2 linked regions of the Lytechinus pictus genome follow. The main gene of each other region encodes a partner of the protein of the gene in region 2 in a complex. Links are inferred from orthologs where the notes say so. Each region holds a gene or a part of one and is shown on either strand. Other genes may lie near its edges.

What was found.
Region 1: pre-mRNA-splicing factor RBM22-like (region 2) and pre-mRNA-splicing factor SPF27-like share a complex: the UniProt entries of both Homo sapiens proteins name them as parts of the postcatalytic spliceosome P complex. The link is inferred for Lytechinus pictus from reciprocal best matches to the Homo sapiens genes RBM22 and BCAS2.

What each region holds. Positions count from the first base shown.
Region 1 is NC_087246.1:47,381,879-47,389,276, reverse strand, and holds the start of pre-mRNA-splicing factor SPF27-like, read right to left. Parts: upstream 3,208-7,398; 5' UTR 3,096-3,207; coding exon 3,021-3,095; intron 1-3,020. UniProt on the Homo sapiens protein: Required for pre-mRNA splicing as component of the activated spliceosome. Component of the PRP19-CDC5L complex that forms an integral part of the spliceosome and is required for activating pre-mRNA splicing.
Region 2 is NC_087262.1:21,577,503-21,585,751, forward strand, and holds the start of pre-mRNA-splicing factor RBM22-like, read right to left. Parts: upstream 3,178-8,249; 5' UTR 3,113-3,177; coding exon 3,059-3,112; intron 1-3,058. UniProt on the Homo sapiens protein: Required for pre-mRNA splicing as component of the activated spliceosome. Involved in the first step of pre-mRNA splicing.

The DNA.
Region 1 (7,398 bases), on a different chromosome or scaffold from region 2:
CGAAGGATTCATATGCACATGGTGCACGCAAATTTTTCACACCCTTTTTACTAAAATAACTATGCCATTCCTTTTAAAATAATATTTCTAATTGTGCTATGACACTTACCGAACCATATGGATCGTTTCTTGTCTTCTCTTTGGTGTGTTTTTAAGAAAAAAAAAGCATTTTCTCGTGATCTTCACATAGATACCGCAGGGTCATCGTGGTTGTAAACTTTTGCTTAAAGAGGGCGCGCGATATTATTCACAAGATGTTTGTTTACTGTTCTGCAGCTTGTACTGCTAGCTGCGTTTTAGACGCTCAGCATTATTTTCCTCTTTCTGTTTTTTTTTGGCTGTCAAGCGGTATTTTCTATTGTAGCGCCATCAGCGATGATGAAATGTAAAGAGTCGCCTTGAAATGAAGAAAAATTATGTCACATTAATTCGTTAGTTTGTTTCCTATTTTTTTGCACTTTTTTCTTCTTCCTCATCTATGATCAAAGGTGAATACCTTTTTTTGATATCTGTTCTAAAAGCTGGACATTTTAAATATTTTGTTCAAGTAAATAAATCAACAGGATAGTAATCAAAATGCGATAGAGCTGCCCGAGCTGAAAATTCTGATACAAGGACTTGAAAATAAAACATTCTGAGCACTTTTTATAACCATGATGAGGAGACCTATATATATTTTATGGCCTCCTTTTCCCTCTCTCTCCTCTACTTTCCCCCTCCCCTGATCTGTCTTTTATTGTCTCTCCTTTCCTTTCCCGCCCCCTCCATTCCCTTTCTCCCTTTTTCCTTTCCCTTCTTTTCTTTCCTTTCTCCCTCCCCTACTCTTTTCTCGCTCTTTCCATTTTTCTTTCTCTCTCCCTTCCCCTCTTCCTTTCCTTTGTTTTCTTTCTATTTTATGGTCTCCTTTTCCCTCTCTCTCCTCTACCTTTCCCCCTCCCCTTTTCCTTTCCCTCTCCTTTTTTGTGCAAACATTAACACGAATATCTTGCCTCCTACACACACACACAAACGCCCGCAATCTAACACACGTAATGCGAAACAATCGGGACATTATCATTTTGTTCATGTATATTTTCTCAATGACCATTTTCATCTATTTAAAGCTTTGAAAATTATTAAACAATGATTCCATAGGCGAAATCTCAATGATCATTAGGAAGGTACTTTACCCATTTTCATTTTATGTCATTGTGATTATTCCATACTAAGGCAACATATTTTGGATATAAAAATACGTGAAGGATATGTTCCTCTTCTGTTTTATACTTTAACAGAAAACATTTTGTTCAACCAAATTATGATTTGTATTTCCAAGTTCCATGTAATATTTTCATTGGAAAATCTCTTAAAGGTCAAGTGCACCCCAGAAAAAATTGTTTGAATAAATAGAGAACTATGTTGATTTTTGGTACAATTTCCTATTATGCGCCGACGACTTGAATCGAGAATATTCGATAGGAAAATTTCGCATTTCGATTGTTGTTTGCGTAATTTCCACCGCAGTACGAAGGATGACTAAGGACGGACCGAGCGAAGTATCCTGGTTGAGATTTGGAGGTAAGCGATAAAAACACTTTAATAAATAATTTATAATTTCTTTTTCAAATAACCTTAAAGTAGGGTGTCTGGAGAAAAAAATTATTTTTCTTATTTCAAGAAAATATCACATTTTCTTTGTGAATTTGAAGAGAAATGACCTTCAGACTGACAGAAATGTAACATTTTGGAAAAAATCCAATTATTGGCTGCAAAAAAGAAGAATGAAATTAGGTAAATTTTCAGCATTTCTCTGCCATAGACTGTGTAGTTAAGAAATGGACACACACAAATCCAAATTTTTAGCTTCCGAGAGCTGTTATAAATTTATTATTAATGCCAAAAACTTGTCCATAAAGAGTCCAATAGGATTTTTTATGCTCTATCTGATGGTATGATTTTTATAAAGATTTTGAAACCAGATCACAATGAAAAATTGCGACAAAGTGAAAAAAATTGTGCAAAACAGAAATTTCATTTTCCCATAGAAAACGCATGGAGAAATGGCAATCTCAACACACACATAAATAAGGCCAGGGTTTGCAATTTATCTCTAAATCCTTATTTAAAAAGATCATATAAACTTGTCCTTACTGTCAAAAGGAGCCCCTGAATTTTCTCTTTCCATACATGCCAAACACAAGTTAATAATCAATTCAGATCACATTTTTCTAGTAGCCTGAACTTCCCCGAAAAAATGTGCCATATTTTCCCTAAATTAGCCTGTTTTATGCTGACACTTTTCAGTGTGGCTTCAGACACCCTACTTAAAGTAAACCATACGATCAAGATTAACATAGTGGAGAAATATTGAAAGGTTTGGCGTAGTTTAGTCCCTCACATTCGTGTGATGAATGAAAACGTCAAAATGCACTATGAAATCACATGTGTTGTGCGAGGTTAGTATACTAACCTCGCATGTTGTGTGAGTGAGTAATACTAACCTCGCAATATACGTGTGAGTGGCTGCAGTTCATTCTCTCAGTCTAACTTAGTCTAGACTTAGAGTCTTAAGACTAAGACTAGTAAGAGAGTAAAAATCATTTGCTAACGACTAACGTATGCTTACTCTCTACGGAGCCAGGGATTGTGACTTTTGACTTTTGTGTCCCATTCATTTGCGTGTACCAGTTCTACCACGAAAAAATTGAAACTTTCGCCCCCGAGCTAGAATAGGCTTCAGTTTCACTTTCAGTTTTTTCCCGGTACACGCACATGAATGGGGTTAACACCATCCCTGGCTCCGTGGAGAGTACAAGCATACGCTAGTAAATGATTTTTACTCTCTAGGAGTCACTAGTGCTAGGAGTCTCCTGGCTAGGTCCACGTCACTCACACTCCAAGACACAGTCACAGAATTGTTCCTCGAGTTGAAAACTAAACACCAAAATTAATACCTGGGACCGAAGTCACTTTCGCTCGCAGTCTAGTTTTGCCAAGGCAAAGACGACCCCCCAAAAAAAGAGATTATTCCAAATACCAACCGCTTCTCTGACTCCTGGTTCATCGTATCCCTGGTCGACATAGGGCAAGGCATCAACTATTACTTCTCCCGCCATATTTTCTCAGTTAGAATTACGAAAGAGGCCGACGAAATCAAGGCTTTCAAGCATCCCGTTTGCACTACAAAAAGTGAAAACGCCGCATAGCGCTACAGCTGGAATAGAGGGCGCTACAATGAGGGATAATTTTGATGGGGGGAGGCTTTCTTTGGGCAAAATTTGAAGAGAAAAAAAATCATAATTCTGCGGTCTTCGCCAATTTTTCTGACAAAATTGAAAAATCGTGAGCCTCAGATGCATCTGAGATTATGGAGATTAACCTCAATTACCACAGTCTACTGATTTTCCAATTTTGTCCACAAAAATCCCTGCAATTAAGCCTTAGCTCAGAACTTAACTGTCACTCAACGCTCGCGATTCCTATGGTTTGCCTCCCCCCCTAAAAAAATTAAAACTTGCATTTTTTTACTCAAAGTGATCACAAAATTCACCAACAGTGTGCACAAAATCCTTCAATTTCACTTTTAAAAATGCATAAGTGCCCCGAAGACAAGCTTGGTTGGTTGCTTTGCCCCCGATCACTTTGGAGTGTTTAAAAAAATGTATGCATCTTTGCCCCCCCCCCCCTGAAAATATTCTGTGTATGACCATTTTTGGGACACATTCATTAATATGATCTAATAATGAATTGGAATAGTGACATTCACAAATTTTTTTTTTTTTGGGGGGGTGCTGAAACAGGCAAAAGATAGACTTTAACAAAGAATGAGGAAAATCAGGTATTGCTATGATTGATCAGTCTTTATTTACAAGACGTCCAGTATCCCCCGGCCACTTAAGTGCTTTGCACAATGTAACACAAACGGTACATTTACAATCAATATAGATGCACCCTGTGCTTTGCTATAAATCTATCATAATAAATAATGACACCACAGAGATAATTATACCTCTTTCCATTAAAAAGTGACAGCCATCACTTGGTATACAAAGTTAACAAAATTGACATCATATGTAATTTCGTGAAGATTCACAGACATAATTCTTGAACTCTAACATGTACACCTGCAAATGTAAGTGATTTAGAATTTAGTTTTTATAATAATGTCCTGTAATTTTTTCTGATATCCCTATAAGTAAACCATGACATATTACCAAAATGAAAATAATTCAGACACACCTACCTATTTCACACTCACTGCTTGCTTACAATGTACATGTACGACATATACAGTGTATACAGGAATTATTTGAACACTATACATATAAAACGCAGTAAAAGGAGAAGATGCTGAAGTCAAAAAACTTCTAACCTGGCTGTCATTATACACAGTTAATTGATTTCATATGGAAGAGATAATAATAGCCTTGTTTTTCACCTAGTTGCAAATTGTGACTGATCAGTCATGCATTAAAGATAATATATCATGAAGTGCGATAATGCATATTTTCGGACCTTTCTGTCGTCATCTACGCGTAAATCACAATGCATCAATAATCATCACACTTGTATTTATTTCGTTCAATTAGTTAGAATATATCTAAGACGCACATGTACATGTACTTTGACAATTAATCTTGGGACGACTGCAGTTGTTTACACATGACTGGTGACCCTATCTTAGGCTAAATGATATATCACATGTAACTGACTGAGCACCTAAGAACATGTTCCAGTTATGCGTAGTCATGCGTAGCTTAACGCACAAAGACAGCTTTATGAAATACCACCCAGTTTGGAGTAATTCCAATCGTGAAATAATAGCAACAACTGAAGCAGGCTCAAGCAGCACTTCAAAACATTATATGCAAAACACATCATCTATCAGTTTTGAGTTGAATTTTCTCCCAAGAGATTCAACCTAGTACTGTGACGTCATAATTGCAAATTTCTACTTTATAATCTACTACTTCATGAACACATGTAATCAGCTGCATAAGCATTTGATGCTGAATCTTACTGAACCATATGTGAACCATACATAGTGTGACTGTGAGCCTGTAAGCTTTTGAATCTTCACTCTTAGGAATAAGGATGATAGATCACAAAATTATGCTGAAGAAGAAGACATGTCTATAAAGCAAAATTCAAAGTGGTAAGTTATACCCAAGCTAAAGTTAAACCTTACAAATAATTCATAGTCGTTTTATTTAAGTAAATCATGTACATGTGTTTCATCAACATTTCTCTGACATGTTGTCTGGTCCATCACTTTTCTGGATTAAGATTGGCTAAGAAATTTAGCTGTCTGTTACTATGGTTACAGTTGGATAAAACAGATTTCACGGGATAAAACATATGACAAATACTATTATGAAACACTCCACTGGGGTTTAAATAATTTCACTTTCCCCATATTAGGATATCACAAAAATAGCAAATTTAGAGCTTGAATATTTAAAATGACATGATCTAATTGCCAAACCTGGCAGTGGAAACACGACATTAACTGTAAACTGTATACAGAGATAAATATGGAATCCTTATCTCAGCATTATGAACTTTAGGAAACACAACCTCAACCAACAAGACAATACAAAAACAAATCAAATCAGTAAAGTCAATAAATCTTTGAAATCCTTATCTTATCTTACAATGTTTTTAACATAAAGATACAAAAAAATAATAAACAGCAAGATATCTTTAAACACAAAAACTAAATCCATACTTTAACAGAACAGATTGCTGAAAAGGTTATCGAGTTACACAAGGTGAATTTCTACAGTTTCAACTGCCATCGTTCTCAGAGAACATGTATCTATCTATAGTTTGAAGGTATCTCTGTAAAACCAATACAATGCAAGCAAGTCAATATGAGTTTAAAACAAGCTAATCCTGCATTGTGTCGATCATATCAATGACAAAAATAAACAGGGCTGCAGAGAAATTCGCCGAAATATATAAGACATACATCTACATGTAGTGGGTGTTGCAAGAAAATAATTACAACTTCAGTTGCAAATTTACAAGTGATAAGTCGACTTGAAGTAAAGCAAGGTAATATTTGTTGATGCAAGAATCACGCCAGTTATCAATTGCGAATTTCCGATTGATTACAAGACTTGTGATAGAGGGTCCTAAATCTAACTTTAATTGAATTGACAAAAATTTCTTGATTACATAGTCCTCATAGCAAGCATCAATAGACCTTTGTAATCACTACTGGGTCGATTCATATTGAAATTATAATATAAACAGACATATTGCACCTATGATTAAAATAAACATTTTTACACCAAAGGGTAAGCGAAGAAACTGTATTGATAATCACCTTTATGTATTTATGCTTTTAGGATCCTTCAATCGACTTATAAAGGAAATCAAATCTGATCTAAGACGAAATTGTAAGACCACCTGAGAACTGACAAACCTTTGGAAGTCGAAAAATGAGCATAGCCTATGAGAAGCTTGAATATTGTTTTCGTAATTCTACAAGCAATAAGTTCATGGATTATCATCAGTAATGTACATTTTATATCTTGTGTTGTTTTCACATGATGAACTACAATTTTCAAAAATCAATCTTTCAGAGTTAAGAAAGATGAAAATAGTTTGTTTCTAACTGGCCTATTACAAAAGCATTTAAACAATTAAAAAAAAAACCTTCTACTCAGAACTAATTTGTTTTTATTTTCACCAGCAGTAATATTCACATATTGTATTAAATACATGTAATTGATGTACAAATCATATCTCGTTTTCTGCTGCTTCATTTAACATAAAGATAGTAAACTTAGGAAAGGGAAAAAGGGTGTTAGATTGACAGCTATGACCCTTGCCCCTGAACCCTAAAAAGTTGGAAGTTTGCACTATCGTGAGAAGTGATATGTCGTCTAGGGCAATATCATCTACAGGTCTTCAAAGTTATCATTCTCTTGTGCAGACCTATGCCAAACTAAAAATCAATTCAAATACAAGGTAGTTGAAATATCTTGACTTTAAATATGAACACATCCATTAATATTACTAATATTAAGTTTCCACTATAAAAGAACATAACATGTATATCACTTTTAAAATACAAAAACGAATACACTCGAAATTTACATTATACTTCTCAAAATATGAAAGTAACAAAACATGTAAGGCTTTCAACTTTCATCACACTGAAAATCCATCTTTTGCCATTGAATAAATGGATTCACAGACCGAAATAGTGTTCGTAGCTGTATCAAAATGCCTATCTCACACCACTGGATAGAACCATCAGTAGCAAAGAGCAGTACAATACAGTACATAGCTGTGTCTAGCTTCCCAGCCTTAATCCATTAACAATTAAAGCAAATTGATAGATCACTAAAAAGACCTGCCACCCACATACCTTGGAGACACAGGAAGAGCATCTGGCTTAGTCCTGCC
Region 2 (8,249 bases):
TACATAATTTAGGGCTAGAACTTAGAAGTAGAACTATTTTTACCTTCTTATAAGTATACGCGCATGTAATGTTGTAACCCGCAAGTGAAAACCCGAACCGTACCGTCCCGTATAATCCAATAATTTGCAAGCGGGACCCGCTGACCCGTCGGGTTTTAACCCGCAAGTAAATTTATCTTTGAAAAGTGAAAATTATTTCTGCAATCCCCACACTATACAGGCTCAAATCACGAAAATATATGCCAACTACTAACCTAGCCTAGAGTGAATTTACTTACAATTTGCAAATTTGCCTTTTATTCCGGAGAGAAAATGTTTTTGGGGGTTACTTTGTACCCGAAATGGGTCGGCTCTGATCTCGTAATCGAAAGCATTGCGCAATTAACTCCTCGGATCGGAGCCGCAGCTCAGCGCGCGCTAGCTACATGTAGCCCAGGCTGCCCAGCAAATTCGATGTTCGGTTTCCCGTCGCCCGCCCGCGTTATGAAATTTGGACCGCGTTTAAAAATCAAATTCTGAAAATAATTCATTATTTTACTATTTTGACATAGATATAGATTCAGAACTGATATAAAACATTAATATAAGCTTTTCAGTCACAATTACTTGTATATCATGTAAATACCTGTAATTCTTTTCTTGTTTTTTTCTTGTGAATGGAATGACACTGCATGCTCAACCACACCTCGAGCGATGTTCGTGCAGCGCAGGCTCCACTCAACTTCACTTCTGCTACACTACGCTCTACCTACCCGATGTAGCGGTAGTGAAGTGGAGTGGAGCCTGCACGAACATCGCTCGAGGTTTGGTCGAGCTACCTCAATAAATCCCATAGTCTAGTAACCTCGCATTGGTGAGTTGTCATACGGCATATCAGACAAAAAAATCATCAAACAAAACTCAATCTGTTTTACAAGGCCGACGGGAGGCTCACGCACGTACGCATTGGCGCTTGTACTAGCTAGCCAGTCTGAGCTCTGTCTCTCTGCCAGAGCTCTGGGGGACAATTCGCTCTGTAAAGTTTATATTTCGGGAATATTATTCAAAACTGCCAATAAAGTTAGATGATTTCTTCATTGTCATGTATATTTAAGTTATTAATGAGTTCATTCTCACCAAATTTAGACTCCCCCATAGAGAAATGCAATTTTCGTGGAGATCTGCGTTTTCAAAGAACATCAGGAAAAGTTAGGGTATGTGGGCCTTTATTACATGGCCAAGTACTGGAATTAGATGGAGTAGAAATTAGATATTGAATTCATTTATATCCAAGTTCAACTCATAGTCACACCCACACAAACACACCCACATCCAAGATTCTAAGCATGAAAAAAAATAACTTTAAAATCATTCAATATTAAACAATAAGTAATAATTAATTTAATAAGTGAACAGGGATTCCTCAAAATACAAAAACGTAGCATTTGAAAAGAGCCCCCAAAATGAAAAAAGTAGCCTCCAAAACGGTAGAAATGGAGACCCTGAAATATTACCCAAAAAATGAAAATGGAACCCCCGAAAAAAAATGATTGATTTGCTCCCTGGCTTCAAGACAGTTCCACAGAATAAAAGTGCGTTCAAAGGTTACAAAAGGTCAAACTTTCATCTTCTGGAAAATAATGAAATCCTCATTATGAGCTTGAAAAAATGGGACGGGAAACTCGACATCGAGTTTCATTGGCCTATGCGATTGCTTTTGACTAGACTGTGCTGCGCTGCACTGGCGCGCGCGCTCCTTCTTCAAAAGAGCAACTCGATGTATTTATGTCGAACTGTCTCAGTTCTGTTCACTGTTCACAAGACAAAAATACGCCAGCATTTTTTTTAAAGGAAATATCTACGTCTCTAAAAGAATCCGCCACGTAAGAAGCACATGATCCTAACTCAATTTTCATTTATTATTTTGTTAATGTTTTTATTATGCGTCGTTACTTCTCCCTTTTTTTTGGCATGACGGTCTGCGGGTTTGAGAATGAACTCGGCCCGGCCCGCAACCCGCGATCGGGGGCATACCGGCAGGTTAACCCGTACCGCAACGGGTGCGGGTTACAACATTACGCGCATGATTAATGGGCACAACCCCTGGCAGTAGAGGCGCACGGCCAATATTGGAGACTATCTGCAATGTGGGAGATTATCTCCAATATCAGAGACTTTTGTAAAGAATTTTGGTATCCAATTTTAGAGACAGTCTCCAGTTTTGGAGTCCAATTTCCTTTGTTTACATTTGCTTCAAAAGGATTACCTTGGCGGCAAATAAAAATGTAATAAGTAGATTCCTCATAAAAAATTACCCCTTTTCACCGTCTACTTTAAAAATTCACCGTCTACTTTTGTTTTGATAAGGATTTTTGTTGTCAATCACACACAAAACAAATGGGCTTCTGACCTCAGTGAGACAAAATTTTGGGTGGAAAAAATCATGCTTTTGTTAGTGTTGTTTCTTTTGTCCTTTTGCAAAGCAAGTCTCCAATGTGGGAGATTGTCTCCCCTATTGGAGAGAGTCTCCCATATTGGCCATGCGCCTCTACTGCCTGGCTCCGTGACACATTAGTGAATTTTTACTCTCTAGGAGCCTAATGGCTACTCTAGACTTGTGCACCTCAAACTACATCATGTAACTGCTCATGCTGAACTGCATTTCATGTTGACGCCGAAACGAAAGCGAAAGCATAAAGATTTGAGCAAGCTCAGCTGACGTTTCCTATCAGTCACACAGTTGACATTCAGATTATATATTCCATCCATATTCATGGTTACATTCAAGCAAAAATTAGGCTTTCGCACCGACATTTCTGTCAATTAGCTTCAATGAGCAATGAGTCACACACGTCCACTTTTTTTTCTTCTTTTCTCTTCATCACAGAAACCAATACACGAATACCAACAGGTGGGACAGTACAACCAAAAATTACTCCACAACATGAGATTGCAAAATAGCATGGATCTTTGTAAATCTTACATGAAATCAAACGGAATGTTGATGAAATTCTTGAGGGAATAATGAAGATTCACATTATGACCCAAATAAGATAAAATTAATTCGTAAAATACTTACAGCTTCTTCCCAATTCAGTCGATTGTAGGTGTTTGCGCTTTTGCTCACCGCCATCGCTTGTGCTGCTTTCTTAAACTGAAATTACCGACCGAAAATAAAAGTAGCAAGGCGATAAAGGCATACGGTATCGCTTATAATTAGTCAGTTTAGTTTTTGGTAAAAATATTTATCTTTTTCATTTTTCAACTTAATTTTTAAAGTGCTTTTTTCGGTTAATTTTTACAATTATGATTTGTTATTGAATACGTTTTTTGTTTGTATTTTGTAGAATTCTCTGAACATCTAACTTACTTTGTAGGATTACATGTACTTTCAGAGTAACATTGAATCAAAGACTTTTTAGGTTTTTGATGACTTCTTTTCATCCCACTATTCTTATCATCTGTTCTCACCCATACTTTTATCATCGATTTTTTAATAAAACAATTGCACACCTAGTTACCAATAATGAATATAGCATTTCCATTTATTTGAAAACAGGATAAAATAGCATTGTAGAATAAAAGCCTTGCTCAAGGGCATAGGTGCCGCGGCCGGGGATCGAACCCCGGACTTTCCATGTGTAGCCAGGCGCCTTCGACCACTCGGCCATGGCACCACCACATTGATTGATTGATCGATTGATTGATTGATTGATTGCTTCTATTTTCCAAGTCACCATACATGTATACAGTAGCGTTAAAATCATAGGCTTGAACAGGATAACCAGTTGGAAGCTTATTTCGTTATTTGTATTTCTAATGAGCGATTTTAATGGGATGTTGCAAGAATTTTGCAATCGATTGCATGTCAGTTTTAAATCTTGAAATTAATTGCAAATTTGCAATTGTCTTCTCCTTGTATAACAAGAATACCGTTGATTTGCTTTTCTTAAAATTGATCTATAACTTGTAACATTTACAATTAATTGCAAATATTTTCTTGCAACACTCCCTAGGAATAATGGGCCCATAACCTAAAAAATCACTCGAAGAACACAATTTGTTAGCTTTCGGGACTGGTATGTATTGAATGCATTTATAATGGATGAGATGAGTTTTGTTCAGAATTCGGAATGGCGCAGGTATATAGGTCTACTCCTCACAATTTTGAGTGAAATTAAACACCCACTCCATAAAAAAGCCTAGGAAAAAAATGACACTATAATTGTGTCTCCCACTCTCTCACTGTCTAGTTCTTAATGGCATCACATAAATAATGAGTTTAGCTCACAGCTAGAGGTGTAACAATACAAAATATGAAATGTCTAATTTCGAGTATATGCAGTGCTGATTGTTCACCACAGCACTCACACAAAAGCAGGTGCAGTGGAAAATAAAAATATATTTTCTTTTGTGTGTGTATTATTCCTGTGAAGATCGACTGTCATTCTATTTGTTTCATTTTCAAGAGCCCCGGTCTCCGAGTGCTATGAGTATGGGCATATAGTACACATGACATTCTGATAAATTTGTCGATGTCAGCAGTTTAGGCCTATATCGCATGATAGCTGACTTGTTCAACACTGAAGCAATAGACCTGCTATATTATTATTATTATTACTGTTATCATTATTATTATTATTATTATTAATATTCTTCTTCTTATATTCTTCTACTACTTCTTCTCCTCCTCCTCCTTCTCCTTCTCCTTCTTCTTCTTCTTCTTCTCCTTCTCCTTCTTCTTCTTCTTCTTCTTCTTCTTCTCCTTTTTCTTCTTCTTTACGGCGGAGCAAGATGCTGAAATTTTGATCAAAATCAGATAACAAATAACAAAGTTATTGAATTTTAAACATTTGCATATTATTCCGGTGAAACATTTCTAGGCAAGTCTTTATGAACATTCATTAGATGGGCTCATGATGTCATATCCCCACTTGTTCTTTTGTATTTTATTATATGAAATTAGGATTATTCAAAATTTTTCTACCAAGAACGAAAACAAGTGGATTGACAACTGATTAAGTGCATTAGTTATTTATTGCCGCAACTTATTTCATCATAATGGAGACACATTATTTACACATGTATGAAAAAACGAAACATTTATGTTTTCATGTAATAGCAAAAGAAAAAGAAAAGTGGGGAGTGACATCATCAGCCCACCTAATGAATATACATGACGATGTGCGAATAACCGTTTTCACAAAATATTTATAAACTTTAAAATTCAATTATTTTGTTATCCGATTTTGACGAAATTTTCAGCAATTTGCTTTGTGAATTTTACACTATTTATTTGAATATAAATATTTTCAGCCTAGACCATCCCTTTAACATTCCGGGTTAACATTACACCCCCCAATCAATGAAAATCAAAAGCAATGAAGCCTATTGCATGTTCTATTCGAATCCATTGCACTTACGCCCTCAACATAGGCAAATCGCGATATAGCAGATATCGCAGGTTTTCTATCGTCTGCTACGTGTGTAGAAGCTGGAAGTCAATCCTGGAGTCAATTTGGCAAATTTTGTATTCGGTGAACTTTTATCTTTAATTACGCTGAAATAAGATAACAAACATCTGAATCTGTTTATGTGACAGAGGAAGAGATCCATCTTGACATATAAACGAATGCAGATAATTCAGTGAGTAACCTTTTTGTTGCAGTTCGTCGTTTTTAAGTTTATGATGTTGCTTAGATTTTGGAGGTTAATAATACAGTGCATGTGATGCGGATTGGGATGTACTCCGCGGGGAACTCCGGGGTTGTTGGTCTCAGCGTTGTGGGATACAGGTGATATTCGTTCTTCCGCTCTACCCACACGCCGCGCTGCGCATATCGAACATTGATGTTCATGTTAAAACTGAAAGTGGGGAAGTCAAACACAATTTGAGAGATAAAAACTGAGAATATGATGGTAAAGTGATTGAACTCCTGGCATTTCGGAGATTGTACCAAAATGATGATGGTGAAGATGAAATGTTACAGTCAGTGGCGGACCGTGACCCGGAGGAGACAATTAAAGCATTGGAGGGGCACTGTATTCATGGTATTATTTGTGAACAATGCTGTGCCCCTCCAATGCTTTGTCTCCTCCGGGTCACGGTCCGCCACTGGTTACAGTGATGGTTGTGGTGGTGGTGGTGGCCTGATGATGATGACAGTGATTGCTGATGATAATGATGTGATGATTATGGTTATGATGATAGCGGTGGGGTGGTGATGATGATGATGATGGTGATGATAAGTTATGATTATGGTGCATGGTGCATAATCATCAATTTCATCATAATGAAATTGAAGATTATGATTGTGCAAATCATTTTGATATTTTTATTATTGTGATGCTGGTGGTTATATTATATTGTGAATAATTTTCCTGGTATCAAATTGCATTTTGCTTCACATTTTTTATAGACTGAAACAGAAAAGGTATTTTTTATGTAGCAGATTTTTACACTGTACAGGACTTAGCTGAGAGATTTTCTCTTATGATAACCAAATTTGGTTGGCAAAAATTTGTATTTTATTACATAACAAACATAAATATATTGATTACTGTTTTTTAGGTATGAATCATTAATCTTCTGGGGTTACTTTTTTTTAGCTCACCAGCCCTCGTTTGACACGTCACATTTGCCACAGTGTTCATTGGACTCTAGAGGGATATCAGGGGATCTTTTGAATTTTTCCAGGGCTATTGGGGCATTTTTTGGGCGATTTCGCCTGAGCCCCCATATTTTGTGCCGTGCTGGTAATTGTGATCATGATTCAGGACTGAAATTATACCAATATTAAAGGCCTCAAACACCATGACTTGGATGCACTGTTGATTAGCTTTGAAGCCCCTCTCATTGGCCTTGAAGATTTGTTGTACTGGTACTCCTGTTTTCATTTTTTTATTGTTTAACTCCCATTTTAATTCCCTATTTATGGTGTACTAGTAGATAATGTGCCCTGTGGACAAGTGGCCTTGCCCTTAGAATGGGAATATTAATAACATGATATTGCTTATGATTAGGCTACTTATGATAATTGTGACTGGCATTTATGGGGAAAAATATTGGGAATTATTAATGTTTCTTGAAAAAAATAATCATTCTATTGTCCTTGCTGCAGTCAATAGAACAGATCCTTGTGATTCCTCTTCAGTAGAACTGAAAGATTTAGAAAAGAATAATTTGAAGCACTTAAGCAGAGAAGTTCCAGAAGCATTTTATAATAACAATTTTTCGGGGTAGGGGGCTTGACTCGACAAATCATATCCTCAGTAACCACTAGAGAAACACCCCCAAATTTGTTATTATGTCATCAATTTTTATTTCCATATCAATCTCAGATCAATCAGATCTCTCAAGTCTACACAATAGTTTCCATGTTGGTTCTCACTTCGGACCTAGATTTTCCCTTCAAAGCATCTGTTCTGTGCATCCAACCATCACAAACAATAATCCATGAGATATAACAAAGGCTTTAAAGCTCTTTCAATGACATTGAACTGCTCAACTGCTCTGGGTGTGCGTATTGATTTTAGAAAGTTGACACGTGCCTCGAAAACTTTCTGTAGTACTGGCCCTGGCTGCCAGCTGCTACAAAATTTGGGGAAAAATAAGGAAAAATTAGGGGGGGGGTCCAAAGGAAGGGCTAACTGTTCCAGTTTCTTATTAAAGTTTTGGTGATTTTTTGTAAAGTGAAATCTCATTATTGTACTTTACAAAGTTAGTGAAAAAATCTGATCAATTTAAATGATAAGAAAAATCAAAAGATTGAAGTGGTTGTAAAGTAAAAAAAATAAACAATTTACATATTTTTTTTTCTGTGTGTGTAACTTTTATCAAAATGATTTTATGTTTTATTTGCAAATAGATTTCTTTTGGTAACAAAATAAAAACACAGACTTCCATATACATTTGCTGAGTGAAATTATATTTTCATTGGGGCATAGATCCCAAGATATATGCTCACATATGTGTATTGACAAATTAACTATTGCCATTTTAACAAATTAATATACATTTCTCTTAACATGCAAAAGTAAAAGTTTGTGTGCAAGAATTTTGCTTTTTCTAGGATGCATCTTATTTGTTAGGAGCATTATGCAGGTGCGTAGCCAGGGGGGGCGGTCAGCCAGGGGGGGCGGTCCCCCCAAAAAAAACGCTACAAAAAAGAAAACAAAAGAAGGAGAAAAAGAAAAAGCGAAAGGAGAAAATGGAATAAAGGTATAGCTTTGTTGTCTTTTCCCTTCTCTTTTGGTTAAAAGAATAAAAA